Linked DNA regions of Callithrix jacchus. The protein of the gene in region 1 interacts with the protein of each later gene in a pairwise test. Links are inferred from orthologs where the notes say so. Each region holds a gene or a part of one and is shown on either strand. Other genes may lie near its edges. The genes, in order: MCM3AP and MCM3.

Region 1 (16,076 bases):
TCCGCCGCCTAGCAGGGTGCCGAGAGCGGAAGCCGATCGCGGCGGAACCCGGTAGTGCTGCGCGAGCCGGAAGTCGGTCCGCCGCGTTTTCCGTCCCCAGTGCGCAGTGGAGGCGTCGCGGCCACAGGCTGGGGGCTTGCGCCTCTCGTCCTTTGTAGGGGTCCGGGAGCTGCGCGGGCCCCGGGGTCCAGCGGCGAGACGGTGAGCGTGGGGGTTGGGCAGGCGCCGGAGACGACGCTTCCTTCCCCCGCGCAGCTCCGCGCGCCGGGCCCTCCCCATTATCGCTAAGGGAGCGTTGCGTCGTCGGCGGCCCTAGACGAGCCCGGGGACTGCGGCCTCCGCCTTTTCGGGCTGTGCTGGGTGGAAGATTAGGCTTCCCGGGCACGCCGTCCCCGCCGACAGGCCGCAGCTCCGTGGCAGCGCCCCGGGGGCGGGGGGGTTGCCAGGGCGAGGTAAAGGGATGCGTGAAGACGGGCTTAACGCTCCAGCCGCCCTGAGGGAAGCCGGGTGGGAGGAGACCCCGAAACGCTAACGTTCTGACTGCGTTACATTCCAGTTCTCCGGCTGTAGCGAGTGGAGGCACTCGGGAGAGATTCATCTCTAAGTCGTAAGGAGGAACAGCATTCATTTTCTTATTGCCAGTGGAGGTTTTTAATGAATTTACCAACGCAGTGATGTGGCTTTTTTTTTTTTTTGAGACGGAGTTTCTCTTGTTACCCAGGCTGGAGTGCAATGGCGCGATCTCGGCTCACCGCAACCTCCGCCTCCTGGGTTCAGGCAATTCTCCTGCCTGAGCCTCCCGAGTAGCTGGGATTACAGGCACGCGCCACCATGTCCAACTAATTTTTGTATTTTTAGTAGAGACGGGGGTTTCACCATGTTGACCAGGATGGTCTCGATCTCTTGACCTCGTGATCCACCCTCCTCGGCCTCCCAAAGTGCTGGATTACAGGCATGAGCCACCGCGCCCGGCCTTTTTTTTTTTTTTTAATCTTAAAGGATCACGCTTTAAACCTCTGTAACAAAGTAATTATTTGTACCGCTCTCTACGCCATCCTCCAACAAAAGAACCCATTGGCTCTCAGAAAATAATAGTCCTTTGAAAATAGTTATCTTTACGTGACTTTGTTCAAAAGTTCCTCTCTTAATTTTGTAGCAGAACGTAGCTGTGATGATCTGAACTTCTGTCTTTCAGCTTGTTATGAAGAGGAAGGGGAGACTGTTTCAGAAAGCCAATTAATTTCGTACACGTAATACTTATTACCTTCTAATAATTGGATCAGAAGATGAACCCAACTAATCCTTTCAGTGGGCAGCAGCCTAGTGCTTTTTCAGCATCTTCTAGTAGTTCCATAACAGCATTCCCATCCAAGGCACCGTTTCGATTTGGTCAACCTCTTTTTGGACAAAACAGTACCTTATGTGGGAAGAGCTCAGGATTTTCACAGCTATCCAGCTTTCCAGCATCTCCTGGAGTAAGTCATTCCTCTTCAGTGCAAACATTAGGGTTCACCCAAACCTCAACTGTTGGACTCTTTTCTGGACTTGACCACACATCCACCTTTGTAGCTACCTCTGGGCCTTCAAGTTCATCTGTGCTGGGAAACCCAGGATTTAGTTTTAAATCACCCACCAGTGTGGGGGCTTTCCCAAGCACTTCTACTTTTGGACAAGAAGCTGGAGACATAGTGAGTTCTGGTTTTGGGAAAACAGAATTCGGCTTTAAACCTCTGGAAAACGCAGTGTTCAAACCAATATTGGGGACTGATGCTGAGCCAGAGAAAACCCAGAGCCAAATTGCTTCTGGGTTTTTCACATTTTCCCACCCAATTAGTAGTGCACCTGGAGGCCTGACCCCTTTCTCTTTTCCTCAAGTAACAAGTAGTTCAGCTGCCAACTCGAATTTTACCTTTTCAAAACCAGTTAGTAGTAGTAATTCCTTATCTGCTTTTACCCCTGCTTTGTCAAACCCAAATGTAGAGGAAGAGAAGAGAGGACCTAAGTCAGTTTTTGGAAGTTCTAATAATAGCTTCAGTAGCTTCCCTGTGTCGTCAGCTGCAGTTTTGGGTGAACCCTTTCAGGTCAGCAAAGCAGGTGTCAGGCAGGGCTGTGAAGAAGCTGTTTCCCAAGGGGAACCACCTCCCAGCCTAATGAAAGGCCTGAAAAGGAAGGAGGACCAGGATCGTTCCCCAAGGAGACATGGCCATGAGATAGCAGAAGATTCTGATCCTCTGTCCAGGGGGGATCATCCTCCAGATAAACGACCTGTCCGCCTGAATAGACCCCGGGGAGGTACTTTGTTTGGTCGGACGATACAGGATGTTTTCAAAAGCAATAAAGAAGTAGGTCGCCTGGGCAGCAAGGAGTCCAAAAAGGACATTGGCTTTGTTGAGTCTGGAGAAAGTGACCACATGGCTACCCCAGGAGGGAGTCAGTCTCTCCTGGCACCTTCCCGGATTCCAGGTTTGAATAAAGAGGAAGAAACTGAAAGTAGAGAGAAAAAAGAAGGTGAGTTCTGAAAATGTGGAACATAGTGTAAATTCTGCTGGCAGTTTCCCAATAAGTCTCTCTGGGTGTTAGCTTGATTTTTCAGATAAGTCTCCCATAAACATTAGGGATTCTGGACTGGGCGCGGTGGCTCATGCTTAAAATCTCAGCACTTTGGGAGGCTGAAGTGGGTGGATCACGAGGTCAAGAGTTCAGGACCAGCCTGGCCAACATGGTGAAACCCCGCCTCTACTAAAAATACCAAAATTAGCCTGGTGTGGTGGCGGGCACCTGTAATCCCAGCTACTCTGGAGGCTAAGGCAGGAGAATCACTTGAACCCAGGAGGCAAAGGTTGCAGTGTGCCAAGATCGCACCACTGCACTCCAGCCTGGGCAACAGGGCGAGACTTTGTCTCAAAACAAACAAAAAAAAGTTAGGGACGCTACATGTCGTATGGAGCAGGTCTTATACCTGTGAACATTTCCTTTGCTTTTACACAGTTGGTGCCTCCTGTTGTTAGCGTTACATATGATGGTTTAAGTGTCTATTCTCTGAACCCCTAGATTCTTTAAGAGGAACTCCTGTGCATCAGAGTAAAAGAAGCCAGAGCACAGATAGTCTTGGGGGCTTGTCTCCCTCTGAAGTCACAGCAATCCAGTGCAAGAACATCCCTGACTACCTGAACAGCAGAACCGTCCTGGAGAACCATTTCGGCAAAATCGCCAAGGTGCAGCGCATCTTCACCAGGCGCAGCAAAAAGCTCGCAGTGATACATTTCTTTGATCATGTGAGTGTTTCCGTATTGCCGTGTTACCCTAGATTTCAACTACGGCACTGTAAAACTTGTTTTTTTTGGGGGGGGGGCATCATGGTTTATCAGTTATTTAATATTGGGAAATTAAATATCTTATTATTATTTTTTTTTTTTGAGATGGAGTTTCGCTATTGTTGTCCAGGCTGGAGTACAGTGGCACAATGTTGGCTCACTGAAACCTCTGCCTCCTGGGTTCAAGCAATTCTCCTGCCTCAGCCTCCCGAGTAGCTGTGATTACAGGCATGCACCACCATGTCCTGCTAGTTTTGTATTTTTTTTAAGTAGAAATGGGGTTTCTCCATGTTGGTCAGGTGACAGGTGATCTGCCCACCTTGGCCTCCCAAAGTGCTGGGATTACAGGTGTGAGCCACTTCACCCAGCCTGAAATATCTTATTCTTCTTTTTTTGACACGGGGTCTTGCATGTTGCCCTGGCTGGAGTGCAGTGGCAAGATCTTGGCTCACTGCAACCTCCACTTCCCAGGTTCAAGTGATTTTCTTGCCTCAGCCTCCTGAGTGGCTGGGATTACAGGCACCTGCCACCATGCCTGGCTAATTTATTTGTAGTAGAGACAGTGTTTCATTATATTGATTAGGCTAGTCTTGAACACCTGATCTTGAGATCCACCCACTTTGGCCTCCCATAGTGCTGGGATTAAGATGCGTGAGCCACCATGCCCAGCCAAGTATCTTATTCTTAAGATAGGCTGGGATAGCACTATTTATTTCATAACTTGGGGTATTCCATGTCCCTGCAGAATACAGTGCTCTAGAAATGCTGGGAGAGTTGTTCCCATGAAGTGAAGTTCTTCTGAAAGGCTCTGGGGTAGCTCTAACTACAGAGTAAAGTGAAGTTCTTCCGAAAGGCTTTGGGGTAGCTCTAACTACAGAGTAAAGTGAAGTTCTTCCGAAAGGCTTTGGGGTAGCTCTAACTACAGAGTAAAGTGAAGTTCTTCCGAAAGGCTTTGGGGTAGCTCTAACTACAGAGTAAAGTGAAGTTCTTCCGAAAGGCTTTGGAGTAGCTCTAACTACATAGTCCTTTTGTTGTTGTTGCTTTTGTTTCTTTTTTTGAGACAGTCTCGCTGTGTTGCCCGGGCTGGAGTGCAGTGGCACGATCTTGGTTCACTGCAACCTCTGTCTCCTGGGATCAAGTGATTCTTCCTGCCTCAGCCTGCCAAGTAGCTGGGATTGTGTGTGCACCACCATGCCTGGCTAATTTTTGTATTTTTAGTGGAGACAGGATTTCGCCATGTTGGTCAGGCTAGTCTCGAACTCCTGGCCTTAGTGGTCCATGCACCTTGACCTCCCAAAGTGCTGGGATTACAGGCATGAGCCACCATGTCTAGCCCTCTCATTTGTTTTTAAAGTCATTTTTTGCCTGTTGTAATGTGCTCATTTTCCCAGCTGAACATTAAATATTTTATGAGCTAACATGTAAATACATTGCTTTTATAGGCAGTTCATTGGTACAGACAAAGCTGAATACCCTCATCTCTCCTGTTACCAAGAGCAGTCCAGTCTCCTACTGTAGTGTGTGTTTTTCTAGACATTTTTATGAGTATCTACAAGGAGACTAAGATGTGGTTGGTTTTGTGTCTTTTTTGTGATAAATGGCATCTCGGTGTGTTATTCTGCAGCTCTCTTTTATGCTTCATTATGACTTCGAAAAATTTGTTTCTGTATATGTAATTAGCTGGTGAGAATCATCTCAGCAAATGCCGAAGAGGCCAAGTTTGTGAGTTCTCTGAGGCAAAGTTGTTAATTTAAAAAAAAGAGCAGAGCAAATAGATGCTTGTGAGACAGGTAAGGGAGGTGGACTTCTGCGGCCACAGCTGAAGGCTCTGCAGGCAGCAGATGGGGGATGGAGGTATCACTGGTGAACAGAGGACAGGGGCTCCTGGTGCTATTGAATGGACGTTTTGCTCACTGCATTTGAGTTTTCAGTCTCATTTCCTTTAGTCTCCTGATGTACTTACACTTGGCGGTTGTTTTCTAGGCATCTGCAGCCCTGGCTAGAAAGAAGGGGAAAAGTTTGCATAAAGACATGGCGATCTTTTGGCACAGGAAGAAAATAAGTGAGTTTTCAATTCTCAATTTTTAGAAAAGTATTTTTATTAATTTAATAGAGATGAGATCTCACTACATTGCCCAGGCTGATCTGGGATTACAGGCATGAGCCGCTGTGTGTGGCGTGGCCCTCTCTTCAGTTTCTCTTGCTCTGTACAAACCCTTGGAGTGTGGGCCCTTTCTCCAGCCAGTGGGGGAGGCTGGCTCTGCCTGGATTTTCATTTCACAGTTATTTCCTCGGGCTCTTCTCTGACCTCCTGTGACAATGACAAGAATATTACTTTCTCAAAAACAAAGTGAAAAAGTCCAGTACCAGGTGATCTGTGATTGCATAAACTTTTCTGCCTCATATGTTCTCAGGCCCCAATAAGAAACCCTTTTCCCTGAAGGAGAAGAAGCCTGGCGATGCTGTAGTCAGCCCGAGCCCGGAAGACACTCCGTTTCAGCACTCTCCTCTTGGCAAGGCTGCAGGGAGGGCTGGTGCTAGCAGCCTGCTGAATAAAAGGTGGGATGGCCCCTCCTAATGACCTTATTTGGGAAGGACCAGGAAATACTGCCCTACAGTGACACCTGAGTTGGGGCTGCAGGGTTGGGGGGGGGGTGTAAGGAAACAAGAGCCAGTTGTCAGGGATGCTTGGGGGTCGAGTGGCAGGGGTTCCTGAGCCTGCCCCTCCAGCCAGAATGGGCCATGTGGAGGTGGGTCTGTGTGGGTCTGGTGCTCCCAGCCAGGAGAGAGAATTTTCTGACGCTGGTACCTGCCAGCTGCAGAGAAGGTGGAGAGCAGTGATACTGTCCTGTCTTGTTCTCACATACCCTAGGGTCAAGGTTGCTGAGAAAGCCTTCCTTTGGGGCTGGCCTTTTTTTTTTTGTTTCCATCTCGGCATTTTCTATGGGAGAATCTCGTCATACAGTTGCTGTAGCTGGTGAAGGCCTTTCAGCTACAGCAGCTATCACAGGAGAACGGGGGAGGCTGCTCACTTAGGACACACAGTGCCAGCTCTGTGGGACAGACACTTGCAGCCTGGCACCCTGTGGCTGCCTGCCTCACAAGGTGTAGTAGCAGATCTCCTCGCTCACCTTACTTGTCCTGAATTCCACTGCAGTTGAGTGCAGTTCCACTTGGCATGTAAACGTATAAGCAATAACTTTTTTCCTTAAGACATCTAACTGGCTGTAATAAACCATGCATTCTTTTTTTTGTTTAATTTTTATTAAATAGAGACGGGGTCTCTCCATGTTGGCCAGGCTGGTCTCGAACTCCTGACCTCAGGTGATCCACTCGCCTTAGCCTCCCAAAGTGCTGGGATTACAGGCATGAGCCACTGCACCCGGCCTCTTTTTTTTTTTTTTGAGATGGGAGTCTTTGTTGCCCACGCTAGAGTTTGGTGGTGCAGTCTTGGCTCACTGCAACCTCTGCCTCTTGTGTTCCAAGAAGTTCTCCTGCCTCAGCCTCCCTAGTAGCTGGGATTACAGGTGCTCCACCATGCTGGCTAATATTTTTGTGTTTTTTTTGTAGAGACAGGGTTTTACTGTGTTGGCCAGGCTAGTCTCGAACTCCCGACTACAGGTGTGAGCCACCCACCTGGCCACACCGTGCATTTTTAATAATTACTTCCAGCAGTTTCCAGCATGACTTCCCCCCACCCCACTAAAAATCTGTCTCCTACAGGAAGGACAGCATGACTTTTTGTAGGTACAGGTTATCACAGTGAAACAGATGCTGTTGGCCATGTTAGTTGTGTGAGCTGGCGTGTGATGTGCGCTCCCCTGGCTGTCTTGTTCTGAAAGGCTTTTCCTTTTCACACCAGGCCTACTCTGACAGGTTTCCAGCTTAATCTGTCTTTTTATCTTTTGGCCAATGTATTTTTCTCACTTCCCATTTTGTGATGAACAGTTTAGGTGCTGCTTTGACATTCAAGTTTAGAAAATGATGAAAGCCAGAAAATGGGGAAGCTGAGAGAGGATGCCCAATTCCTTTCAGTATGTCCTTAGACCAAAATAAATTTCTGTTTTAAAACACGTAGGCATAATACTTATATTAAAGGTGTTTTTCATGCGAGTTTCATTTCTATCTGTAAGTGTTCCTTTCAGCTGTGTGAGCCTGTCTTGTTTTTTTGGAGGGGTGGTAAGGATGGAGTCTTGCTCTGTTGCCCAGGCTGGAGTGCAGCAGTGCAATTTCAGCTCGCTGCACCCTCCGCCTGCCAGACTGAAGCAAGCCTCTCACCCCAGCCTCCTGAGTAGCTGGGACTATAGGCACATGCCAGATGCCTGACTAATTTTTCAGTTTTTTGTAGAGATGAGGTCTCACTATGTTGCCCAGGCTATCTTTATTTTTCAAAAGTATGAAATATTTCAAAATTATGTTAAGGTCAGTGAATAATGTGAATAACACTTTTGTGCTTATCACCATCTTTATCAAGACCCCTCATTTTAGTGCTTGTAGTTTCTCAACTTCAGAGAACCAGAAGATCTTGAAAGATGAGAGGATATATTCAGAAATGAAAATTCTCTAAAGGCCTTACCGGTACAAGGGCCCTCAATGTGGTGTTTACTTTATAGCTCTCCAGTGAAGAAGCCAAGTCTCCTAAAGGCCCACCAATTTGAGGGAGACTCCTTTGACTCAGGCTCTGAGGGCTCCGAGGGCCTTGGGCCATGTGTGCCCCCCCTCAGCGCCCTGATAGGCACCGTGGCTGAGACGTCCAAGGAGAAGTACCGCCTGCTTGACCAGAGAGACAGGATCATGCGGCAAGGTATGATGCATGGTGGCAGAGGTTCTGGGGGCCTGGGAGGGCGTCCTCTTGGGTGCCATCAGAGTGGGAGCAGCTTCTTTCCACTGGGCTTTGTTGCTGTTGAGCCTCAGGGCCTGTGATGTGCTGTGTCTGAGCTTCATGGTTGGCCAGTCTTCCTTGGAGTGAGTGCTCTGTGTGTGTGTACATATAGGTTCAAATATGTTTGCTTATGTGTGTGTAAAATAGTAGTGGGAGCAGGCAAAGGATAGGCTCATGTCTATAGAGGGAGCAGGTTTCTTTTTTTTTTTTTTTTTTTCTTTTTTTCAATGAGTCTCGCTCTTATTGCCCAGGCTGGAGTGCAATGGTGCGATCTCAGCTCACCGAAACCTCCCTTCCTGGGTTCAAGCTATTCTTTTCCCTCGGCCTCCTGAGTAGCTGGGATTACCGGCATGTGCCACCATGCCCAGCGAATTTTTTGTATATTTAGTAGAGACAGGGTTTCACTATGTTGTCCAGGCTGGTCTGGAACTCCCGACCTTAGGTGATCCATCCACCTCCCAAAGTGCTGGGATTATAGGCATGAGCCACCACGCCTGGCCAAGAGAGTGGGTTTCTGAAGGGCAGAGGTTATGGTGTAGTGTTCCATCTCGGACAGGACATCCTTACCCTATTGGAATGTTGAACTGTGTGAATGTATTACCTACTAAAAAGAAAGTATTCCATTAACACTGAAAATACATGCAGGGAACAAAAATAAAAGGAAAAACACAGGTACTCCTCTTTGCCAATTTTTTTGTCTTAAATTTCAGCTGGGTCAGGCACAGTGGCTCACACCTGTAATCCCAGCACTTTGGGAGGCTGAGGCGTGTGGACCACCTGAGGTCAGGAGTTCAAGACCAGCTTGCCCAACATGGCAAAAACCCGTCTTTACGAAAAAAACAAAAAACAAAAAACAGAAATTAGCTAGGTACGGTGGTGTGCACCTGTAGTCCCAGCTACTTGGGAGGCTGAGGCAGGAGAATTGCTTGAACCCTCGAGGCAGAGGTTACAGTGAACTGAGATTGTCCACTGCACTCCAGCCTGGGCTGCAGGGTGAGACTCTGTCTCAAAAAAAAAAAAAAAAAAATTCAGCTATCCCTTTTTTAAAAGTTGTGGATAATTAGAATAATCACAGTGTTTCCTTACTATATGGTAACAAAAGCTGCCATCATACATTGTGTCATTGATATAGTGATTTTTATATTCCAAATAAAATCATTAGGTATTAGAATTTTTCTTTCTCTTTTTTTCCTCCTGAGATGGAGTCTTGCTCTGTTGCCCTGGCTCGAGTGCAGTGGTGCGATCTTGGCTCACTGCATTCTCCGTCTCCTGGGTTCAACCAATTCTCCTGCCTCAGCCTCCCAAGTAGTTGGGACTACAGGTGCATACAATCATACCCAGCTCATTTTTGTATTCTTAGTAGAGATGGGGTTTCATCATGTAGGCCAGGCTGGTCTCGAACTCTTAACCTCACAATCTGCCCTCCTCGGCCTCCCAAAGTACTGGGATTACAGTTGTGGTACACCAGGTATTAGAATTTTTCTTTTTCTTGGGGGGGGGGGAGGGGACGAAGTTTCACTTTTGTTGCCCAGGCTGGGTGCAATGGTGCGAACTTGGCTAACCTTCACCTCTCTGGTTCAAGTGATTCTCTTGTCTCAGCCTCCCAAGTAGCTAGGTAGCTGGGATTGTAGGCATGTGTCACCATGCCTGACTAATTTTGTATTTTTTTTTCATATGGAGTCTTGCTTTGCTGTTCAGGCTGGAGTGTAGTTGTGTGATCACACCTCACTGCAACCTTCCCCTCCCGGGTTCAAGCAATTCTCCTGCCTCAGCCTCCTGAGTAGCTGGGATTGCAGGTGCCCACCACCATGCCTGGCTAATTTTTGTATATTTAATAGAGATGGTGTTTCACCATGTTGGCAAAGCTGGTCTTAAACTCCTGACCTCTGGTGATCCTCCTGCCCCAGCCTCCCAAAGTGCTGGAATTACAGGCGTGAGCCACCACACTGGACCTAATTTGTTATTTTAGTAGAGACAGAGTTTCTCCATGTTGGTCAGGCTGGTCTTCAACTCCCAACCTCAGGTGATCCATCCACCTTGGCCTCCTAAAGTGCTGGGATTATAGGCGTGAGCCACTACTACACCAAGCTCAGGTTATAGAACTTTTTAGAATAAAAACAAGAAGTATATATTTTGAGTTGTGAAGTTGTTGCATTTCTTTTTACTTGCTAGATACATTTGTAACTATTTAATTCTAAGTGTAATCATAGCAGTTTACTTATTCAGGTAAGAACCCAGTTAACTTCCATTATGTGATTCTTACATTCAAGTCATGATGAATACTGTTTGAGAGTTTTAGAGTAGTGGTATATTTGTTTTTTTTTTTTTTTTAAGACAGAGTTTCACTCTTGTTGCCCAGGCTGGAGTGCAATGATAACAATCTCAGCTCACCGCAACCTCTGCCTCATGTGTTCAGGTGACTCTCCTGTCTCAGCCTCCCGAGAAGCTGGGATTATAGGCACCCATCACCATGCCCGGCTAATTTTTTAATTTTTTTTTTAGTAGAGACAGGGTTTCCTCATGTTGACCAGGATGGTCTTGAACTCCTGACCTCAGGTGATCTACCCGCCTCAGCCTCCCAAAGTGCTGGGATTATAGGCATGAGCCACTGCATCTGGGTTTTTTTTTTTTTTTTTTTGAGACGGGATTTCACCATCATGTTGGCCAGGATGATCTTGATCTCCTGACCTCGTGATCTGCCTGCCTCGGCCTCCCAGAGTGCTGGGATTATAGGCGTGAGCCACCGTGCCCAGCCAGTATTTGGAATATTTGCAGTTGTAACGAGTCAATCCTTCTAGTAAACATCCTGCACCATGAGAGTCTGTCATTCAGGTTATGACAGGAGTTAAAAACTTTGGTTGAAAGTGAGGCTGTGTCCCTGCTTTTAGTCTGCTGTGAGGGTCTGTGACTCCTGGAGAGTCTGCTGTGAGGGTCTGTGACTGCTGGAGAGCGGCAGACCCAGGGTTCTTTGGGAGCTTTGGTGTCCCACTCCCTGACAGAATAGACCCTAAGCCCTCTTTCTCTGAGGCTCACAGTTTAACAGATATTTTTCTTTTCCTTTGTAATGTGGGTGTGTTTTAAGTTTTAAGTTCTTTTTATCATTATGAGCGTATACTTCTGTAGGTTTATGCTAACTGTGTGGTACGTTCTTACCTTTTACTTGACGTCATTTAGCGCGGGTGAAAAGAACCGATCTGGACAAAGCGAGGACTTTCGTTGGGACCTGCTTGGATATGTGTCCCGAGAAGGAGCGGTACATGCGGGAGACCCGAAGCCAGCTGAGCGTGTTTGAAGTGATCCCTGGGACTGACCAGGTAAAGCCCTGCGTCTCCCCGCGGAGTGGAGGCTGGAGGCAGGCTGTGCAGAGGAGGCTTTTTTTGTAATTCTGTGCATACTGGATTGAGGTGTTTGCTTGTTTTAGAGGCTATTGGGTATCTGTGCCATTAACAGTCATATTCAGCTCTTTTGCATCATGAGATGTTCACTCTGTAGTTGGTACCTATACATGATAAGTTATAGAGGCAAGTTTTTTTTTTTTTGAGCCAGAGTTTCACTTTTTTCTTTTAATTTTTTTTTTTTTTTGAGCCAGAGTTTCACTTTTTTCTTTCTTTTTTTTTTTTTAAATTTTTTTTTTTTTTTTTGAGACGGAGTTTCACTCTTATTGCCCAGGTTGAAGTGCAATGGCGCGATCTCAGCTCACCACAACCTCTGCTTCCCAGGTTCAAGTGATTCTCCTGCCTCAGCCTCCTGAGTAGCTGATATTATAGGCATGCACCACCATGCCCACTAACTTTTGTGTTTTTAGTAGAGACAGGGTTTCTCCACGTTGGTCAGGCTGGTCTCGAACTTCTGACTTCAAGTGATCCACCTGCCTTGGCCTCCCAAAGTGCTGGGATTACAGACATGAGCCAGCATGCCTGACTTGCTGCAAGTTTGTTTAAATAGAGTTGTTTTTCAAATATTTATTCATTTAGAAACAGGACTTTATTCTTTCACGTTAGCTGGAGAGCAGCGGTGCAACGATGGCTCACTGTGGCCTCGACTTCCCAGGCTCAGGTGATCCTCCCACTCAGCTTACTGAGTAGCTGGGATTACAGGCATGGTCCACCATGTCCAGTTATTGTTTTATTTTTTTGTAGCAATGGGGTCATGCCGTGTTGCCCAGGCTGGTCTTGAACACCTAAGCTCAAGTGATCCACCTGCCTTCGCCTCCCAAAGTGCTGAAATTACAGGCGTGAGCCACCACATTCAGCTTTTTTCTTTTTACAATCATTCTTATCCTTTTCTATGCTTATGTTTTGCACATTCAGGAATATATTCTGGATATAATTTTATGTGTATCTTTCCCACTTAAAATTATGTCATGAACATTTTCTTTTGTTATGCTGAACTACGAGCATGTAGAAATGACAGCACATTTTATCAGTAGCTCTGTCATAGGCTGTTTGTAAATTGTTAGTTCTTTGAATAACATGAGTTGGCGTCTTGTGTGTTTCTCTGGTGTTGAGATTACTTTGTTCAGACCCTAGGAATTAAATTACTGCATTGGAGGCTTTGACCTTTCCCGAAGATTATCCGTGTATCTTCCCCAGTTGCTTCCCTAGGAAGCTGCACCAATTTAGATCCTTTGCACTTTGTGAATTTTGCTTGTGGGCTTCTCTTTCTCTTTCTGGCTGGTGGCTTTATACACCCTTCACCCAGTGCAGTGTCCCCAGACCAGCAGCAGGTGTGGGGCCCCTGCTGCAGGAGAAAGTACATGCTCAGGGCCTCATCCTGCGGATGTCTCTGCGTCTCCTCTTGGCCATGTTGTCAACCTCCTTTTGAGGTGGGAGATGCAGCTCCAGGCCCCAGATGAGCAGCTGGCCCCTCCTGCTGTGCCCTCAACAGTCCTCACTGCCTGTCTCTGTTTCACTTCTGGTCTGTGTAGACTTCAGCTGCTGTGTGAGCAGCGCTGAGACCTGTTCAGTGCTTTGAGGCCCTTCCCTGTCCTGTCTCTGCTTTGGCGCGTGCAGATGTGCCTTCATCTACATTCCTCCCGTTTGTCATGACACACTGCTGTCTTAACTCCTTGTGGTATTTGCCAAATCAAATTTCTCAATGTATTTTGCCTTTGAATTCTGTCACTTTTTAAAAGAAATTTATGTTGAAAAAAATGTGTTCTCAAAAAAAAAATTATGTTCTCAAATATTGATCTGTGTGGGCATGTATGTGATTTTCCCTCATTTTCAGGCATAAGCGTGCCTGGCCCAAGATGTTTCTCATGGGCAGCCCATCTCTGCTTTGTGTCCCTAGGTGGACCATGCAGCAGCCGTGAAAGAGTACAGCCGGTCCTCAGCTGATCAGGAGGAGCCTCTGCCCCACGAGCTGCGGCCCTTGGCAGTGCTCAGCAGGACTATGGATTACCTGGTGACCCAGATCATGGATCAGAAGGAGGGCAGCCTGCGGGACTGGTACGACTTCGTTTGGAACCGCACACGTGGCATACGGAAGGTATAGGCGGCTTCCAACCTGGACACTAAAAAATGCATGCAAATTTCAAAGTCACACTGATAGTTTTTATTATTTTACTCAGTTACGTATTTTATCTGTAATAAAAGTATACCTTCATGGGCAGGGTGCAGTGGCTCACACCTGTAATCCCAGCACTCTTGGAGGCCGAGGTGGGTGGATCACCTGAGGTCATAAGTTTGAGACCAGCCTGGCCAACATGGTGAATCCCAGTCTCTACTGAAAATACAAAAATTAGCTGGGTGTGGCTAGGTATGGTGGCTCATGGCTGTAATCCCAGCACTTTGGAAGGCCGTGGTGGGCGGTTCACGAGGTCAGGAGTTCGAGAACAGCCAGGCCAACACAGTGAAAACCCATCTCTACAAAAAATTAGCCGTGTGTGGTGGTAGGCACCTGCAATCCCAGCTGCTGAGGAGGCTGAGGCAGGAGAATCACTTGAACCTGGGAGGTGGAGGTTGCAGTGAGCTGAGGTCATGCCACTGTATTCCAGCTTGGATGACAGAGCTAGACTCTGTCTCAAAAAAAAAAAAAAGAAATTAGCCGGGTATGGTGGTACACACCTATAAAGTGCCAGCTACTCAAGAGGCTGAGCCAGGAGAATTGCTTGAATCCGGGAGGGGGAGGTTGTGGTGAGCCAAGACCGCACCACTGCACTCCAGCCTGGGTGACAGCAAGACCCTGTCTCAAGAAAAAACAAGTACTTTTATTCAAATCACTACAAAGTCTATTAAAACGTGCATCATGGGCTTCGTTTCATATTGAAATGTGAGAAATTGAGGTCATAGCATGATCTTTCTCATAGCTGACTCTCTGCATGGGAATGTGTGTATGATCCTCCCCCTCGCCTGTGGCCAGGATATCACGCAGCAGCACCTCTGTGACCCGCTGACGGTGTCCCTGATTGAGAAGTGCACCCGATTTCACATCCACTGTGCCCACTTCATGTGTGAGGAGCCTATGTCTTCCTTTGATGCTAAGATCAATAATGAGAACCTGACCAAGTGCCTGCAGAGCCTGAAGGAGATGTACCAGGACCTGAGAAACAAGGGCATCTTCTGTGCCAGCGAAGCGGAGTTCCAGGGCTACAATGTTCTGCTCAGTCTCAACAAGGGAGACATTCTAAGGTGAATTTCCACATTCAAATTTGTCTGCAAAGGCAGGCTTTAAGCAGGAGAAGAGCTTTCGGGATTGGCAGTAGCGATAGTGCTGCGATCTCTCTGGCAGCAGGTGTTGGGATGATAGGAGGAGTCTTGGTCTCGCTGTGCAGTCTGCTGAGCTGAGCTGGGGGAAGAGCGATGGGGTTGTGCACGGGACCGGCACATCTGATGTAGGCCCCACATGCTCGCTTCCGAGAACTGTTTCTCCTCACCAGTGAGAGACATGAGGAAGGAATCCTCCTAGCGAGACAGGTGAGTGAACCAGGAGAGGGAGTTTCAGCTGTCCTGCAGGGTTGTTAGCAGCTCCCTGTTCCCAGATAGTTTTGTCAAAGATCCAAATAAGAAGAGAGGAAAAAAATTGTGTGAAACAAAATGCTAACAATGGGGCAGTAAGAATGAATGAATTTAAAACCCTGGTCTGATCCATCATTGAGAAGTCTGACAAGCTCTCTGGCCCCCGCTTGTGGTGGTGTTTTTATTTATTTTTAATTTTTTTGAGATGGAATCTCGTTCTGTAGCTCAGGCTAGAGTGCAGTGGTCCTATATCGGCTCACTGCAACCTCCACCTCCCGAGTCCCGGTTCAAGCAATTCTCCTGCCTCAGCCTCCTGAGTAGCTGGGATTACAGGCATGAGCCACCCTGCCCAGCTGTTTTTTGTGTTATTGTAGTAGAGATGGGGTTTCACCATGTTGGCCAGGCTGGTCTTGAACTCCTGACCTCGTGATCCGCCCGCTCAGCCTCCCAAAGTGCTAGGATGACAGCCATGAGTCACCATGCCTAGCTGTGGTGGTGTCGAACTGGACTTGATGGTGGGCAGTGTCCTCTTTAGTTCTGAAATTTCCCTATTGATGCTGAAATTCATTTTTTTAGCTTTGTATTTTCTTTAAGAACTGTGTGGAAGAATATCTAGATGTGTGAATGATTTTAAATTTTTATTTTATTTTTGACACTGAGTCCTGCTCTGTTGCCCAGGCTGGATTTCGCCTCACTGCAACCTCTGCCTCCGAGGTTCAAGCGATTCTCTTGCCTCAGCCTTCCAAGTAGCTGGAATTAGAGGCGCATACCACCATGCCTGGCTAACTTTTTTGTATTTTTAGTAGAGATGGGATTTTGCCATGTTGGCCAGGATGGTCTGGAACTCCTGACCTCAGGTGATCCATCCACCTCAGCCTCCCAAAGTGTTAGGATTACAGGCATGTGCTACCGTGCCCTGCC
Region 2 (16,176 bases), on another chromosome or scaffold:
AGCTGGTCAAAGATATCCTACAGGAGAAATAACCAATGGCAAGCCTAGTGAAATTCAATGGAACTTTGTGGAGCTCCACTTCATATACTTTGGCCTACAGAAAATACTTGAAGAAATATACAAACATGTACATTGTTCCTAAGTGCAAAAGCTTCTGCTCTAAGACAAATCACATTATCGGGCCATTATCAGAGTAGGCACAGAGGCAGCCTGGATTCTGAAACCTGTTTAGAGGTTTAATCTTCAAGGGAAAAAAAGCAGCCCCAGGTTCAAAACATTTTAGGTTTAATAAGAATATGTACTATGCTTGAGCGGTAACCTTTATCATCACACATTCATATATGTAGTTCAATTCTAAATGTGGGTATACATCCTATCTTTAAAAAGAAAAACAAGTTGAAGAACTAAAACAAAGAAAAAATGTTTAATTTTAGTAATGCATCACTAATGTCTTCAGTAATAAATAGACTTATTGGTACACTATTACTGAATTGGTACACTATTTATTACTTATTGGTACACTATTTATTACTTATTGGTACACTATTTATTACTGAATTGGTACACTATTACTTATTGGTACACTGTTACTGAATTGGTACACTATTTATTACTTATTGGTACACTATTTATTACTTATTGGTACACTATTTATTACTTATTGGTACACTATTACTGAATTGGTACACTATTTATTACTAAATTGGTACACTATTACTTACTGGTACACTATTACTGAATTGGTACACTATTTATTACTAAATTGGTACACTATTTATTACTTATTGGTACACTATTACTGAATTGGTACACTATTTATTACTTATTGGTACACTATTACTTATTAGTACACTATTTATTACTTATTGGTACACTATTACTGAATTGGTACACTATTTATTACTTATTGGTACACTATTTATTACTTATTGGTACACTATTACTGAATTGGTACACTATTTATTACTTATTGGTACACTATTTACTTATTGGTACACTATTTATTACTTATTGGTACACTATTACTTATTGGTACACTATTACTTATTGGTACACTATTACTGAATTGGTACACTATTACTTATTGGTACACTATTTACTTATTGGTACACTATTTATTACTTATTGGTACACTATTTATTACTTATTGGTACACTATTTATTACTGAATTGGTACACTATTACTGAATTGGTACACTATTTATTACTTATTGGTACACTATTTATTACTTATTGGTACACTATTACTTATTGGTACACTATTACTGAATTGGTACACTATTACTGAATTGGTACACTATTTATTACTTATTGGTACACTATTTATTAACTGATAAGTTAACTTCTATCCTAATATTTGTATTAGGCTCATTTAGCAGCCCAACAGGTAGCAGGTATTAAAATTCTGTTTAATAACAAAGAATGATTAAAGAGCAAACAGCAAAAACACCCTTTCACTTGTTGATTGGGACAAAAATAGAAGAAGCTAACACCAAATACTTTAGAGAAAAAAACTTCAACCCTTCCTTCTGATCTAGTACAAAAACAGCCATGCACCAAAACACAACTCTTAGAAATCCATTCCCACCCTCAAATATTAAAGAATGCCCAGACCAGCCGGGCACGGTGGCTCACGCCTATAATCCCAGCACTTTGGGAGGCCAAGGCGGGAGCATCACAAGGTGAAGAGATCAAGACCATCCTGGCCAACATGGTGAAACCTCGTCTCTACTTAAATACAAAAATTAGCTGGGCATGGTGGAGTGCACCTGTAGTCCCAGCTACTTGGGAGGCTGAGGCAGGAGAATTGCTTGAACCCAGGAGGCGGAGGTTGCAGTGAGCCGAGACCTTGCCACTGCACTCCAACCTGGTGCCTGGCAACAGAGTAAGACTCTGTCTCAAAAAAAACAAAATGAATGCCCAGACCTTGGATCGGGTTTTACTGAACTTCTTGATCTTGGCTATATCCTCAGCAGAGAAAGAAGGCTGAGCGTCCTTGCTCATCTGCTTCACATTACAGGCAATCAGGACAGTCCTGGGACAAAGAGAATAAAGAGGAAGGCTATTATATTCAATTCCTAACATCGGTAGCTAGTACCCCAGCAAGAGTAAGCCTTTTTAGGCTACCAAACTAGACCAGCAGATCAGAGTTGATTGGGTGGGGGGTAACTTGTGAATTAAACAACTGGTTCTGTCTGTGACCCAAATATGCTGATCATGCCCCTCCTCTGAAATTGACCAACAGAGCTTCAGACACTGTGTATGGGGACTAAGTATAATTACATGAGAAACTCCCAGGAAAGCCATGAAGACTATAATCATTGTCACAAATAAGTCTTATTTTTGGCATATGATGGTAAGTATCACCAGCTTTATCTGACAGAAAAAAGGTACTGAAGGTATCCTGTCTCCCAGACAGAGAGAGCGCTCCATCTCACAGATACAACTCTCTGTTGTAATCTGTAATACAGCAAACTGAAGAAAGGATATTACCAGAAATAGAAGCTGTCAACAGCATTCCATACACTTTAAGGCAGACCTTTTACCTGAAGGTCCCAGAGGTATAGCCTCCCTTCTTTCCAGGAAGGCAACGGTAGGTTCCCACCACCTGAACTCGGTCACCAGGCTTCACTTTATCCACCAAGTCATCATCCAGAATGACATCCACAGAGCGGGGGAGCTGGCCGGCTGGGGCCTTCTCCGGCATCTCCTGGATGGTAACGGTCTGGTGATCCTTGTAAACAGACAGGCCATATTCTGTCTCAAGGGGATTGTTCTCCTCATCCTAGAAAAAGACACACAGAGGGGTAGAGTGATCTCAGTCCTGTCTTAAAAATGCCACCTTCTCTAGCTTTTTCTGTTCCTGTCTGTTTTAGTCATAAATCGTTGAATGGAAGGGGCAACCCCTAGTCTGAATGGACTAGGTTATATTAACATCTAAATTAAGATTCTTACTTCCCCTCTAAAGCTGAATATATGCTTAGATTCTGAAGCAGTTTTTTCACTCCTAAGTAATACCGAACAGAAATATTCACCCAAAATCATAAACTATAATGCTCGTAGCAGCATTATGCCTAATAGTCAAATATTTTACAATTTTAAAATGCCATCAATAGTATAACGGTTAAATAAACACAGTATATTTGCATAAATGAATACTATATAGCAATAAAAATGTATGAAAAACACCTATCCGCAACATGGATAAATCTCATAAACACAAAGTTGCTCATAAACACAATGTTGAGCAAAAGAAGCCCAACACAAGAGTATTTAAATACAACAGAAAAACAGGCAAAAGTAATCTATGCTGTTAAAACATCAGAATAGTGGTTACTCTTGGGTAACATGAGCCCTCAAGACGGACTTTTGAGTGCTAATGTTTCATTTCCTCATTTGGATGCTGGTTACACAGATATACTCAGCTTGTAAAACGTCATCAAACCATACTTATGTGAGCTTTTCTATATGTCTATTAAAGTTTTACTTCCTTGACATTTGAATTTTCTAAAAACAGTTGTCACTTATTGAGTGCTTGCTATGTGCCAGGCACTGTGCTACTACTTCACAAAATTATCTCATGTAATTTTCACAACTTTATAAAGAAAGTATTTTTCACACATCATGGACAAGGAAACCAGGATACTAGAGAGATGAAAGAAGTTCCCCCAGGTAACACAGTTAAGTAGCAGAGTCTGGACTAGACACAAATGTGAACTCCAAAGCCCACATTCTTAAGCACCAGCCTAAACAACCTCCAGAATATCTGATCCAATGTATTTCACTTTTTGAACAAAGAAGCTTGGCCACAGTAATCAACAAAGGAGTACTCCCTGAGTATTTCCTAAAGAGGAAATTCTAGAAAAGTGGACACCTTAAGGTCCAAAGACATCAGAATGACTTAGAAAATACAACTGGCAGGCTGGGTACAGTGGATCATGCCCGTAATCCCAGCACTTTGGGAGGCCAAGGGTGGGCAGATCACCTGAGGTCAAAAGTTCGAGATCAGCCTGGCTAACATGGTGAAACCCCCATCTCTACTAAAAGTACAAAAATTAGCCAGCTGGGGTGGCAGGCACCTGCAATCCCAGCTACTCAGGAGGCTGAGGCAGAAGAATCGCTTGAACACAGGAAGTGAAGATTGCAATGAGCTAAGATCAGGCCACTGTACTCTAGCCTGGGCAACAAGAGCTAGACTCTATCTCAAAAAAAAAAAAAGATACTAAAGAGACACAGGTCCTAGTCCTTAAGGCCATCACTAACTGGGACAATAAGCGAATCATTTAACTTCTCTGATCTCAGCATTTCATCTGGAGGTAGACTAAATGATGCTAATGTATGTTTAAGGTATGATAATTCTAAGATATTCATTCTTGTTTTTGTTTATATGTTTCATTTCTCCACCACTTCGAAGACTGATGATGAGGACTGGTCTAATTTATATCCTTGTCCTCCACAGGGCTTAACAGTGCTTTGAATACAGTACTTCTCAATTAAAATTTGATGAGAGGAGGAGAGGAATTCTCTGATAGAATGATTTCAGACATCAAGTAATCAATATGAACGATCTTTTGTCTCCTGAGGAAAGCCTTGCATTGTCCTCAATCCAGATCAATCTGAACACTAAGAATAAAGAAAGCTTTTTCCTATGCCAGCCTTCTCCCAAACCCACAACAAAATATTTGTAAAGATTACCTAACAGTCTAGCATTATTTTTCTACTTTTTAAAAAGCAGATCATAAAATTATTTGATTATAACTTTGTTAAAACATCTATGTAGATGACTACTCCATAATTTTCTAAAGTGAACAAGTGTCTTCTTAAAAAAATAAGAAGAGCTGTGGCTGGACATGATGGTTCATGTCTATAATCTCAATACTTTGGAAGATGCAAACAGGAGGATTACTTGAGGCTAGGACTTCAAGGCTAGCCTGGGCAACATAGTGAGATCCCACATCTATAAAAAGTGAAAAAAATTAGCATGGCGGTGCATGCCCACAATCCCAGGTACTCAGGAGGCTAAGGTGGGAGGATTCCTTGAGTCCAGGAGTTTGAGGCTGCAGTGACCTATAATCATACCACTGCACTCCAGCCTGAGAGACTGAGATCCTATCTCTAAAAAAAAATAAGAATTAGGAAGCCAGGTGTCGTAGCACATACCTGTAATCCCAACTACTCAGGAAGATCACTTGGCCTAGGAGTTTGAGAATTTAGTGCACCATGATTACACCTGTGAATAGCCACTGCACCCCAGCCGAGGCAACATAGGAGGACCTCATCTTTAAAAATAAACAAGTAAGAATTGTGAGATTTTCATATTAAACTCTGGCCTGCAATCAATCTTTCCTTTGGATTAGTCCTTGTTTTTTCACCCTTTATAGAAAAAAGACTTCAAATATTACACAATTCCTTGCCTTTGGAATCTTTGACTCCAACCCCCAAGAAGGCTGAATGTATCCCCCCTACCTTAGTGGGATAGACAGAGCTGGAGGGAAAGGCCACCAGGGTGGTGAGATCAGAGTAACGTCGTTCTATGGTCTTCTTAGTAGCAGGACAGTAGTGGACACTGCGGACGACTTTGGGACGAACTAGAGAACCTACGAATGAAAAATGTGCATAAAGTCACCCAACTAGACAATGACACAGGTGGGACCCAAACCTATGTAAGCCTATGATGACTCCAAACACTGTGTTCTTTTGACAGGATTAACCTATTTCAATATTACCTTTTATTCACTTTTTATTTATATATAGACCACCACCATATCCATGTAAAAGTTTAAGTACTACCAATTCCAACTAATAGGTAGAGTTAGGGGTTGAGATAAGAGATTGCCACGAACCAAGACTCCTCCAGCATTCAGCAGAATTCATCATTCTACTAACTCAAGTGGTTACTCAAGATCCCCCTAAACATTGTGCACTGAGCCTCTCGAAGTTTTACCACATAATTCCAATGCTCCACTTCTTTGAAGCCACAAGCTACCCAGATCTACCTTGCCCTTCCTGCTTTCCCCATCTCCTTCAGTCTATTCTACCTTCATTTCCTTAGTGGCCCCCTTTAATCCACTTACATTTAGTGACAATGCCCTCCACACAGACCACACAGCTGAGGAAACAAGAGGTAAGAGTCCGCGGGGAGACGTGCTTGGAGCCAAAGCTGCCCTCCAATCCTATGTAGAACTCCTCATACTGCTTCGCATAGGTAGCATCAATGGAAGCCACAAAATCCTTTAAGGCCCGCTGGAAGGCAACCAGCTCCTCAAAGGCATTGTTCAGGAGCCTGTACATGGACAAGAGAGAGAAAAATTAGGGAGACAGGGCAGAACTATTTTAAAAAATGCATTCTCAAAACAGCAACTATTCTTGAATCATTAAGAACAATGAGACAATCCAGCTTCTGCTTTCTCCTGCCATCCTATAAGACTCAGCAGAATACCAGAACTAAGGACCAACTTTAATTCAACTTATCAAATATATAAAAATCATACTCAGCTAAGCATTGGAAGGAGGGTATTTGGGAGGAAAATGCCAACCACCTACTTTTTGGAAGAAAAATAAATAGATGCAGGTGAGCTATGAAGGCTTCTAGATCAATCCTGTTTCATACATGTCCTCTCCTGGGAGGCTGTTCCAATCTGGAGGGAAGGGAGCCATTCTCATTGGGGACCATTATATCCCCTTGCCACTCACCGGTTAGCCCTCTTCTCGTTTTTCCTGCGCAGGTCATTCACATTGACAATCAGCCGGTATTGGTTCTCACTGATCAGCTCCCGAACTTTGCTCTGATAAATTCCCTGGTCTTCCTGCAAAACAGCCACCACATATCACAATAGCCACAAATTCAAAAACAAATTGTTTCTAACAGACACAGTTCTCATAGCCAGATAACTACATTAATCACTGCAGCAGAGCTGAATCCCAAGTATATGCTCATCAATGTTTCCCTTTCATTCACTATTTTCAGATTTGAAATACACCCTAAGAGGGAACTGTAAGAATTATAATGACTTCCTCAAGGTCCATGCTGTTATTCCCATCCTCATGGACAACTTTTCTGCATGCTGTCATTTCTGTCTTTAGTGAAGAATTAAAATGAGCTCATGAAAAGTCTAAAAGGACAATAAATGCAAACTTTGTTAAAATGTAAGTAAACGTAAAACGTAACAATGTGAACAGATGGATATGTTAATTTGCACACTGTATATAGTATACATTAACACATTTCACTATGTATATCAATGTATACATTATCAATGTATGCTATATTTATATGTAGCATACAAATTTAAGTGTATATATTTGTACATTTTGTACACAATAAAAATGTAAATTAAACACTCTTAATATTCACATTGAGATGGCTTTTCACTTAAGAATTATGTACAGAAGTAATATTTTTCCCTATCATTTCTGTAACACAGCAAGTGTTCCTTGCCTAAAATAGAGAATCTCTGCTATCTGGTTACATCATCAACCCTTCAGAATGGTTTTTCAACATTTACGGCTTTAAGTCTTGGGTTGCACATGAAATCCCCTTAGCCTGCATACAAAACACTTTTTATCTGCATCTTAGTTGGTACTGAAAAACAGTGCAGCCGAATTAGGAAGTCTTTTTCTCCAGGTAAAAAGTCAGTCCCTAAAATCTGAGCACCCTGCAACGCGGCTGATCACTACAGCCCTAGGGCATTCATTCCCTAGCCCGCAATCTCCCCAAATCAAGAGAGAGCTGGGAGTGAAGTGCAAAAGGCCAAGGTGGGGGTTTGCCATTCTGCTTGCACTTAATGGGAACCTGTCGCCTTTCGCGCGCCCGGAACATCGCTTGTACTCAGGACAAAGTTAAAGGATCGCTTCCTGAGAGTTCGCTTATGGAACACAAACTAGCAAGTTCAGCGAGAGAACTACAAGATTGGGGCGGGAGGCTCGGGCCGGCAGGCTCCGGAAAAGCACACGGTCTGGAGGTCTGGCGGGCCTGGCCGGGCCGCGTCCGCATGGACTCCGAGCGCTAGAGCCCGCGCGCCTGCGCCTCCCTCACCTCATCATCCAGGAAGTCCAGGTAATCTCTCTGGGCCTCCCGCAGCTCCACATCGTCCAGCACCACGGTACCTGCCATGCCCGCCGCCGAAGAACTAACTCTACCAAAGCAGCGCGGAGGTTCCAAGGATCACTCCACCCCCACGGGAAACTTACGAACTTTTCCCGCCACCAAAAGTTACCTAGAGGAAGAGGCGGGGACCCTGGGAGCATATAAACATTATGATTGGCTGAATTCTCTGACGCCAGAATAGCAACTGTCCAATCAAAAGCTTATTCTTCTCCGGGTTTCCGCTGGGCGCCTCCCGGTGGAGGGAAACGTACCATCCGGGATTCTAGGTTCCTCCCCTCCCACCTCCACCCGCCTCACTGACTAGCAAACTAACCAATAGGGCCGAGAGGAGGTTCACGGAGGCCGGTCATTGGGTAGCTGGAGGGCGCGGCCTGGAGACAAGGAAAGCGCTGCGTTCTAGGAGCGTTCTCCCTCTTTCCCGGATATTTTGCAGGGTCTTTTCAAGCTGCAAAAGTTTTGACCCGAGGCAGTGACCAAATTCTGGCTAGCAGTAGGACTTTCCTTGAAAGTAAACAAAACGTCAGAGGATGGTGGTTTATAACATTTTTTAAAAATAATTTTTAAGATGTATCCAAATCAGAACTGCCCTCAAGGGGCATCCTAGTGGAAAAGTGGATTTTGAGAATCTATAGAATAGAATATAGAACTATAGCATCTTAGGGAAAGATTATTTAGTTGACCTATTTGCTGTCTGATAACCGTGGCCTGAAGAACCCCATAAAGACATGAGGCAGCGGAGGATGATGAAGTGAACAAAAAAATTCGGTATTTACCACGCCCCTTAGAGACCGCAGCCTGTGTTATACAAATTCTGGAAACAGTTACTACTCCCTCTGATTTAGTAACGGGTAAATTAAAGACTTTCTGGTCTTATAAAAAGATAACAGGATCCGGCCGGGCGCGGTGGCTCAAGCCTGTAATCCCAGCACTTTGGGAGGCTGAGGCGGGTGGATCACGAGGTCAAGAGATCGAGACCATCCTGGTCAACATGGTGAAACCCCGTCTCTACTAAAAATGCAAAAATTAGCTGGGCATGGTGCCTATAATCCCAGCTACTCAGGAGGCTGAGGCAGGAGAATTGCCTGAACCCAGGAGGCGGAGGTTGCGGTGAGCCGAGATCGCGCCATTGCACTCCGGCCTGGGTAACAAGAGCGTAACTCCGTCTCAAAAAAAAAAAAAGATAACAGGATCCTATTAAGCAACTTAGCTTACTGAATGATCAACACAAAGGGGGAAATAGTGTTTCATGCCGCCTTTGATTAAAAATCAATGGTTAAATGGTTGTAATCATTAAAAGATCATTGCATATCCAAATTTGTATGTTAGTTTTTAGTCCGTCCTCGTCGGGTTTTTATTATTTTTTAGTTTTATTTTGAGGTATAATCTATATACAGTAAAATGCACAAATCTTCAGCTCAATGAATTTTTACCTGTTAACACCCATGTAACCACTCTACACAGTAAAGAGCATGCCCATTGCCCCAGCATATGTTTTTAATTTTACTGAACAAGAAGCTAAAATACCAGATTGCCCAACACCAGACAGTTGATAACTTGTTATCTGAAATTTCAGCCAACTGATAATTAGCTTGTGTTTGAAAGTCTTCAGGACTCACTATGTACCGATAAATATTCTAAGAATAATCTGCCTAAACGAAATATATATGCCATCTATCTGTGTGGGTATATGTATTTCTAGTTATGCAATTTGTAGTTATTACATGTTTTGTGCCATCCTAGTAGGCAGATAAATCTATCCTTAGCCAAAGCAAAAAGGCTATTTGACTGCTTGCTTTTGTGTATATTAATGGGCAAAAAAAAAAAGAAAAAATCTAGAATAAAGATCCTGTTTGCAGTTATATAGCAAGAAGTAATTGCTGATTTACTTAAGACTTTTTATCACTTGATCATAACTCTTATGAATTTATTGGACACAGTACTGAGATAAACTCTGCTCTGGAAACAATTTGAAATTAATACTAAAAGAACCGGGAAGCTTAGTTCAAACTAGAAGAGAAGTCAAGTAATTTGCAGTGGAAAGTCTGAAGGAGTGGAAATCTGAAAACCATATCTTTTATTCTCCACTTTTTTCTGGGCTGGTTTCCTTATATACAGTATAAGATGAAGAAACTGAAGTAGAATATCTCTGATAATATGGCTTACTCTAACATTCCATGAGCTAATGGCAAATTTGGAAACTATGTAATGACAATTCTATTTAATGAATTAATTATGCCATGGTCTTTGATAAAGACTTGATTTGTCCTAATGTCATCATCTTCAGTTGTGAAGGACACACCTGTATTTAATTGGTGTTTCTCCCTTCTTTCATTAGGGCATGAAATCTTTTTTTTTTTTGAGACAGAGTTTCGCTCTTGTTACCCAGGCTGGAGTGCAATGGCGCAATCTCGGCTCACCGCAACCTCCGCCTCCTGGGTTCAAGCAATTCTCCTGCCTCAGCCTCCCAGGTAGCTGGGACTACAGGCGTGCACTACCATGCCCAGCTAATTTTTTTTTGTATTTTTAGTAGAGTCGGGGGTTTCATCACGTTGACTAGTATGGTCTCAATCTCTTAACCTCGTGATCCACCCGCCTCAGCCTCCCAAAGTGATTATAGGCGTGAGCCACCGCGCCCGGCCAGGCATGAAATCTTTAAACAGAGGAAATGTGTTTCCTTTGGATCCCCCATACCTACAAACTGCCCAAAACCAATCAGGTTGTTGCTGCAGAGTAATTAGGGCATTTGAACATATCTCATATAGAGTCAAGCTGAGCTTACCCCGTGGCCTTCCTCTATCCTGATTCAAAATTAAAAAGCACATATCACCTAATAAAGTAGTATATCTAGTTTCCATACTTGGGTCACATTCCTGCTTTCCTCAGTTTCAATTTTCTTTCCACCCTAGATTTTTTTTTTTTTTTTTTTTTTTTTTTGAGCTGGAGTCTTGCTCTGTCACCAGGCTGGAGTGCAGTGGCTCAGTCTCAGCTCACCGCAACCTCCGCCTCCTGGGTTCAAGCAATTCTTCTGCCTCAGCCTCCGGAGTAGCCAGGACCACAGGCGCGTGCCACCACGCCCGGCTAATTTTTGTATTTTTAGTAGAGATGGGGTTTCACTATGTTGTCCAGGATGGTCTCAAACTCTTGACCTCGTGATCCGCCCACCTCAGCCTCTCAAAGTCCTGGGATTACAGGCGTGAGTCCACCTTACACTTTGATGGACTCAAGCCCATCTCCAAGGCTACCTAAACACTAGGGGGCTCCCTGGAGAGCAGAATATAAAGGATGACAGTAAAAAGAAAACAAGATTGCAAAGAGATTGCAAAATAGATGTAATACTTCCATTCTTCTAGGTCCACAGGGTCCAAAAAATACCCAAAGGCACAATACAAATCCATAATACATATTACTGACACGAAATTATATATACCTTTGTTCAAACCAATGAACATTATATGTTGCAAAACATTTCAAATAATACCCTGTGATTGATAACCTGTTTAGGTACTCAGGAAAGTGCCATAATTCATTAGTAGCCATTTGACATTTACTCAGAAACCACCAAAGCTTGGAGGTGAGAAAATCTATGCCTCCAGGTGTCACAGCAGCTCAAGGAATCATCTGCAGGCACAGGCTTGCCCTAAACTAGCAGTTCCACAGTGTGAGATCAGAATCTTCAGATGCTATGGCATCTAGAGTGTCAAGCACCAAGACAGGCAGATTTGGTACTCTTTCTGGCTGCTCTGTATATTATCTGTGCCATATATACAGATACATCTTACTCTGTGTCTCAGTTTTTCACCTTTCAAATTAGGTTAGTAATATCTCGCTCAAATAAAGGTTTAAGTATCCAGTGAAGTCATAACAGATGTAAAATACTGAAAAAGGTGTCAGGTATTTATTAAGCATTACATAAATGTTAACTATTGATAGTGGTGGTGGATGGTAGTTGGAGAGGAGTCAACGGATAGGAGAAGGGGAGCAAGCACTGTAGTGTATTCTGGAACAATTCAGACAACTGAATTCAAGCCCCCTTCCCACTTCCACCAAAAAACTTATAACACAACCAATCCAGACACTTCGTGAATGAGACCTTTTTCTGCTGGAAGTCCAATTGGCCAAAAAAATGACATAGGCAGGTTATTGTTTGGCTCTGATTCTACCAGTGTTGGAAGCCATCAGATGCATTTACTCCATGCTCAAGGAACATTATGGAATACTTAATGGACTTTTTTAGAAAACTCTTTTAAAAGTGTCTGATCGGCCAGGTACAGTTGGTGGCTCACACCTGTAATCCCAGCACTTTGGGAGGCTAAGGTGGATCACTTGAGGTCAGGAGTTTAAGACCAACCTGGCCAACATGGAGAAACCCCATCTCTACCAAAAATACAAAAAATTAGCTAGTCGTGGTGGCAGGCACCTGTAATCTCAGCTACTCAGAAGGCTGAAGCAGGATAATCGCTTGAACCCAGGAGACAGAGGTTGCATTGAGTCAACGTCACACCATTGCACTCCAGCCTGGGTGACAAGAGTGAACTCCGTCTTAAAAATAAATAAGTGAATAAAGAGCCTGATCACCTTTCATGTCTCCCTTTTGCATTCATTTGTTGCTTCCTGGAGGCCTGGTTAGATATGCTAAAAAGAGCAGGAAAATCCAGGAGCCAGACAGAGAAAATAATTGATCCTGATTTTCCCATTAAATGTAACAACACAGTTGGCTTGCCAACAATTAGCAGTTTGTTGGTATTTGCCAAGGTTAATTTCAGTAATCTGATTTCTTAGTTCCCTGAGATGTCATCTCCATTCTTTTTTTTTTTTTTTTTTTTTTTTTTTTATCCTGAGAGATGGGTTCTCATTATGCTGCTCAGAATGGTCTCAAACTCCTGGCCTCAAATGATCCTCCCACCTTGGTGTGAGCCAACATGCCCAGACCCCAGTCTTAATTGTACAAGTCTTTAGTGATGCTCTGAAGAGCTTTACTTCAGTGCTTAGAGCCACAGAGATTTACAGAAGGAAATTACTAAAAGTGAATTGAGTAGCCAGGCGCGGTGGCTCACGCCTGTAATCCCAGCACTTTGGGAGGCCGAGGTGGGTGGATCACGAGGTCAAGAGATCGAGACCATACTGGCCAACATGGTGAAACTCTGTCTCTACTAAATACAAAAAAAATTAGCCGGGCATGGTGGCACATACCTGTAATCCCAGCTACTTGGGAGGCTGAGACAGGAGAATCGTTTGAACCCAGGAGGCGGAGATTGTGGTGAGCCGAGAATGAGCCATTGCACTCCAGCCTGGGCAACAAGAGTGAAACTCCATCTAAAAAAAAAAAAAAACATATTGAGCGAACATGAATACAGCATATGAAATGCTCAAATAATAACTCCATTTTGTAAATTTGTCTAGATTTGTTGTAAGCATGCATTTTTAAAGATACAGTGCCTTAATGTAACAAAATGATGTATATCGGCATTGTAGGGGAATAAATAAATAAATGTTTTTAAAAATGATGAAGAGCTTTAGTCATACCAACCAATCAAGTATTAGTTTAGCATCTGTATACCTAATTCTGTTCTGGAACAGACTTTTTTAGATCAATGCTGCCCGATAGAAATATAATGTGAGATGCATATATTACTCAAGTTTTACAGTAGCCACATTTTAAAAGATACAAAAGGGCCAGGCACGGTGGCTCATGCCTGTAATCCCAGCACTTTGGGAGGCCAAGGCAGGCAGATCGCCTGAGAATGGGAGATCAAGACCAACCTAACCAACATGGAGAAACCCCGTCTCTACTAAAAATACAAAATTAGCCAGGCATGATGCTGCATGCCTGTAATCCCAGATACTCGGAAGGCTGAGGCAGTAGAATCACTTGAACCCGGGAGATGGAGGTTGCAGGGAGCCAAGATCATGCTACCGCACTCCAGCCTGGACGACAGAGAAAGACTCTGTCTCAAAAAAAAAAAAAAAGAGTAACCATTCATTGAGCATGTACTATGTGCCAGACACTTTGCTAAGCACTTTATAAACCATAAAATCTCATTTAATTTTTACCTCACCTTGTGAAGTGGTTAATTTTAATCCTCATTTTACAAGTGAGAAAACTAAAGTATAAAAGATCTCAGAATTCTGTACTAGCAAGGGGCAGGGATAGGATTTGAACCCAGATCTTTATTATGATATCAAATAGCATTTAAGAACAAATGAGAGCTGGGCACGGTGGCTACGCCTATAATCTCAACATTTTGAGAGGCCAAGGCAGGTGGATCACCTGGGTCAGAAGTTTGAGACCAGACTGACCAACATGGCAAAACCTTATCTGTAGAAAAAATTAGCCAGGTGTGGTGGCACACGCCTGTAGTCCCAGCTACTCAGAAGGCTGAAGCAGGAGAATCACTTGAACCAGAGAGGCAGAAGTTGCAATGAGCCAAGATTGCACCACTGCATTCCAACTTGGGAGACAGAGTGAGACTGTCTCAAAAAACAGCAAAAAAAAATGAATATGTTAAGGTTCAAATGTAGAATCTGATTCTTTTGACTCAGTTGAACTTATTTCAATATTAAATGGACAGGTATTTTATATTTTAAAATATTTTAATTGAGTTTAAAATACATGCTATTGGCATAATATAAAGCGTCATATTTATTAAAAATAACATATAAATTTGCACTGGAGTGATGAGGGAAGGCTAGTGAGAGGAGGGAGTATTTGATTTGGGGATCAAAAAGTGGGCAATCTTGCCTCTAGAGAGATGTGGCATTTTAAATAAAGGCAGGTATGGCCAAGCCCTTGGGAGATACCAATGTGACTAGAATGAAGGGTCCACAGTAAAGGTGTGACTGAAAGCAGCTGGGTGTACTGGGCCTGGCTCTAGAGGTCACTGCCAGCAGAATAAGTGCACAGTGCCTGATTTAGTGGGAGAAAGGGAGCCATTGATGGCTTTTGAGCACAGTAAAGACTATCAAAGTTGTGCTTAAGGAACATTAATCTGGCCAGAGCATGTGTAGAATTAATTATTTTAATTAAAAACAAGAAAGAAATGAGTCCAGGAAAAGGTGTTCAAAAAGTGATCTGCAAGGAAAGGATGAGGGCAAGACATTTTAGAAGGAAAACTGACAGATAGTAAAGCTATTTGGATGGAAGCAGGAATGAGGGAAAAGGAGGATTGATATGGTTTGGCTGTGTCCCCACCCAAATCTCATCTTGAATTGTAGCTCTTATAATTCCCATGTGTGTGGGAGGGACTTGGTGGGAGATAAGTAAATTATGGGGGCAGTTTTCCCCATACGACTCTGGTGGTAGTGAATAAGTCTCACAAAATCTGATGGTTTTATAAGGGGTTTCAGCTTTCGCTTGGTTCTCATTTCTCACCTGTCTGCCACCATGTAAGATGTGCCTTTCACCTTCCACCGTGATTGTGAGGCCTCCCAGGCACGTGGAACTGTGAGTCCATTAAACCTCCTTTTCTCTGTAAATTACCCAGTCTTGGGTATGTCTTTTTCAGCAGTGTGAAAACAGGCTAATACAGAGGGATAAAAATTATATGTAGGTAGCATAAATTAGATACACTGCCTCAAGGACTTACAAAAAAGCATACAAATGTTAAAGATCTTTACTTAGATCTTTAGTTAGAATGAACAGTTGTTTTATAGTTGACACAATGGATAAGAAATTTCAGAGTCAGTCAAGTCTCCCAAAACAGCAGTAGTCGAAAGAATTCAACCTTGACATTTAGTTTCAAAACTTTGTCTGGGACAGTATAGAAGAGGAAGGAAAGTTTATTTTGTTGAATTTTAAAACAAAGTACTATATACAAAGTATGTCTCAAGAAGGGAAAGTACATAAAGTATGCCCTATTCAATTTTATTCTAAAAACCTAAGCAAAGGAAATAAATCTGGTTTGAAAGGGGGCTAGAGAGTCAATGCTCCTTGAAATGAGTTGGATATTTCTTTTAATTGGTTCCATGTTATTTGCCTAAGAAACTACAGTTCCTATCCACAGCATTCACCCTCAGTGTGAAAGACTGACAGAAGCCAGGGTTTGGGACAATTGAATCTCATTGTATCCTTT

The links.
Region 2: the proteins of MCM3AP (region 1) and MCM3 interact in a two-hybrid assay, tested with the Homo sapiens proteins (2 studies listed by BioGRID). The link is inferred for Callithrix jacchus from reciprocal best matches to the Homo sapiens genes MCM3AP and MCM3.

What each region holds. Positions count from the first base shown.
Region 1 is NC_133522.1:51,859,222-51,875,297, reverse strand, and holds the start of MCM3AP (germinal-center associated nuclear protein), read left to right. Parts: upstream 1-98; 5' UTR 99-201; intron 202-556; exon of another isoform or gene 557-607; intron 608-1,195; 5' UTR 1,196-1,286; coding exon 1,287-2,508; intron 2,509-3,051; coding exon 3,052-3,275; intron 3,276-5,297; coding exon 5,298-5,376; intron 5,377-5,728; coding exon 5,729-5,873; intron 5,874-7,927; coding exon 7,928-8,118; intron 8,119-11,370; coding exon 11,371-11,510; intron 11,511-13,488; coding exon 13,489-13,686; intron 13,687-14,559; coding exon 14,560-14,828; intron 14,829-16,076.
Region 2 is NC_133505.1:60,618,692-60,634,867, forward strand, and holds the start of MCM3 (DNA replication licensing factor MCM3), read right to left. Parts: upstream 8,231-16,176; 5' UTR 8,114-8,230; coding exon 8,036-8,113; intron 6,807-8,035; coding exon 6,694-6,806; intron 6,284-6,693; coding exon 6,075-6,283; intron 5,598-6,074; coding exon 5,467-5,597; intron 2,786-5,466; coding exon 2,547-2,785; intron 2,036-2,546; coding exon 1,927-2,035; intron 18-1,926; coding exon 1-17. UniProt on the Homo sapiens protein: Acts as a component of the MCM2-7 complex (MCM complex) which is the replicative helicase essential for 'once per cell cycle' DNA replication initiation and elongation in eukaryotic cells.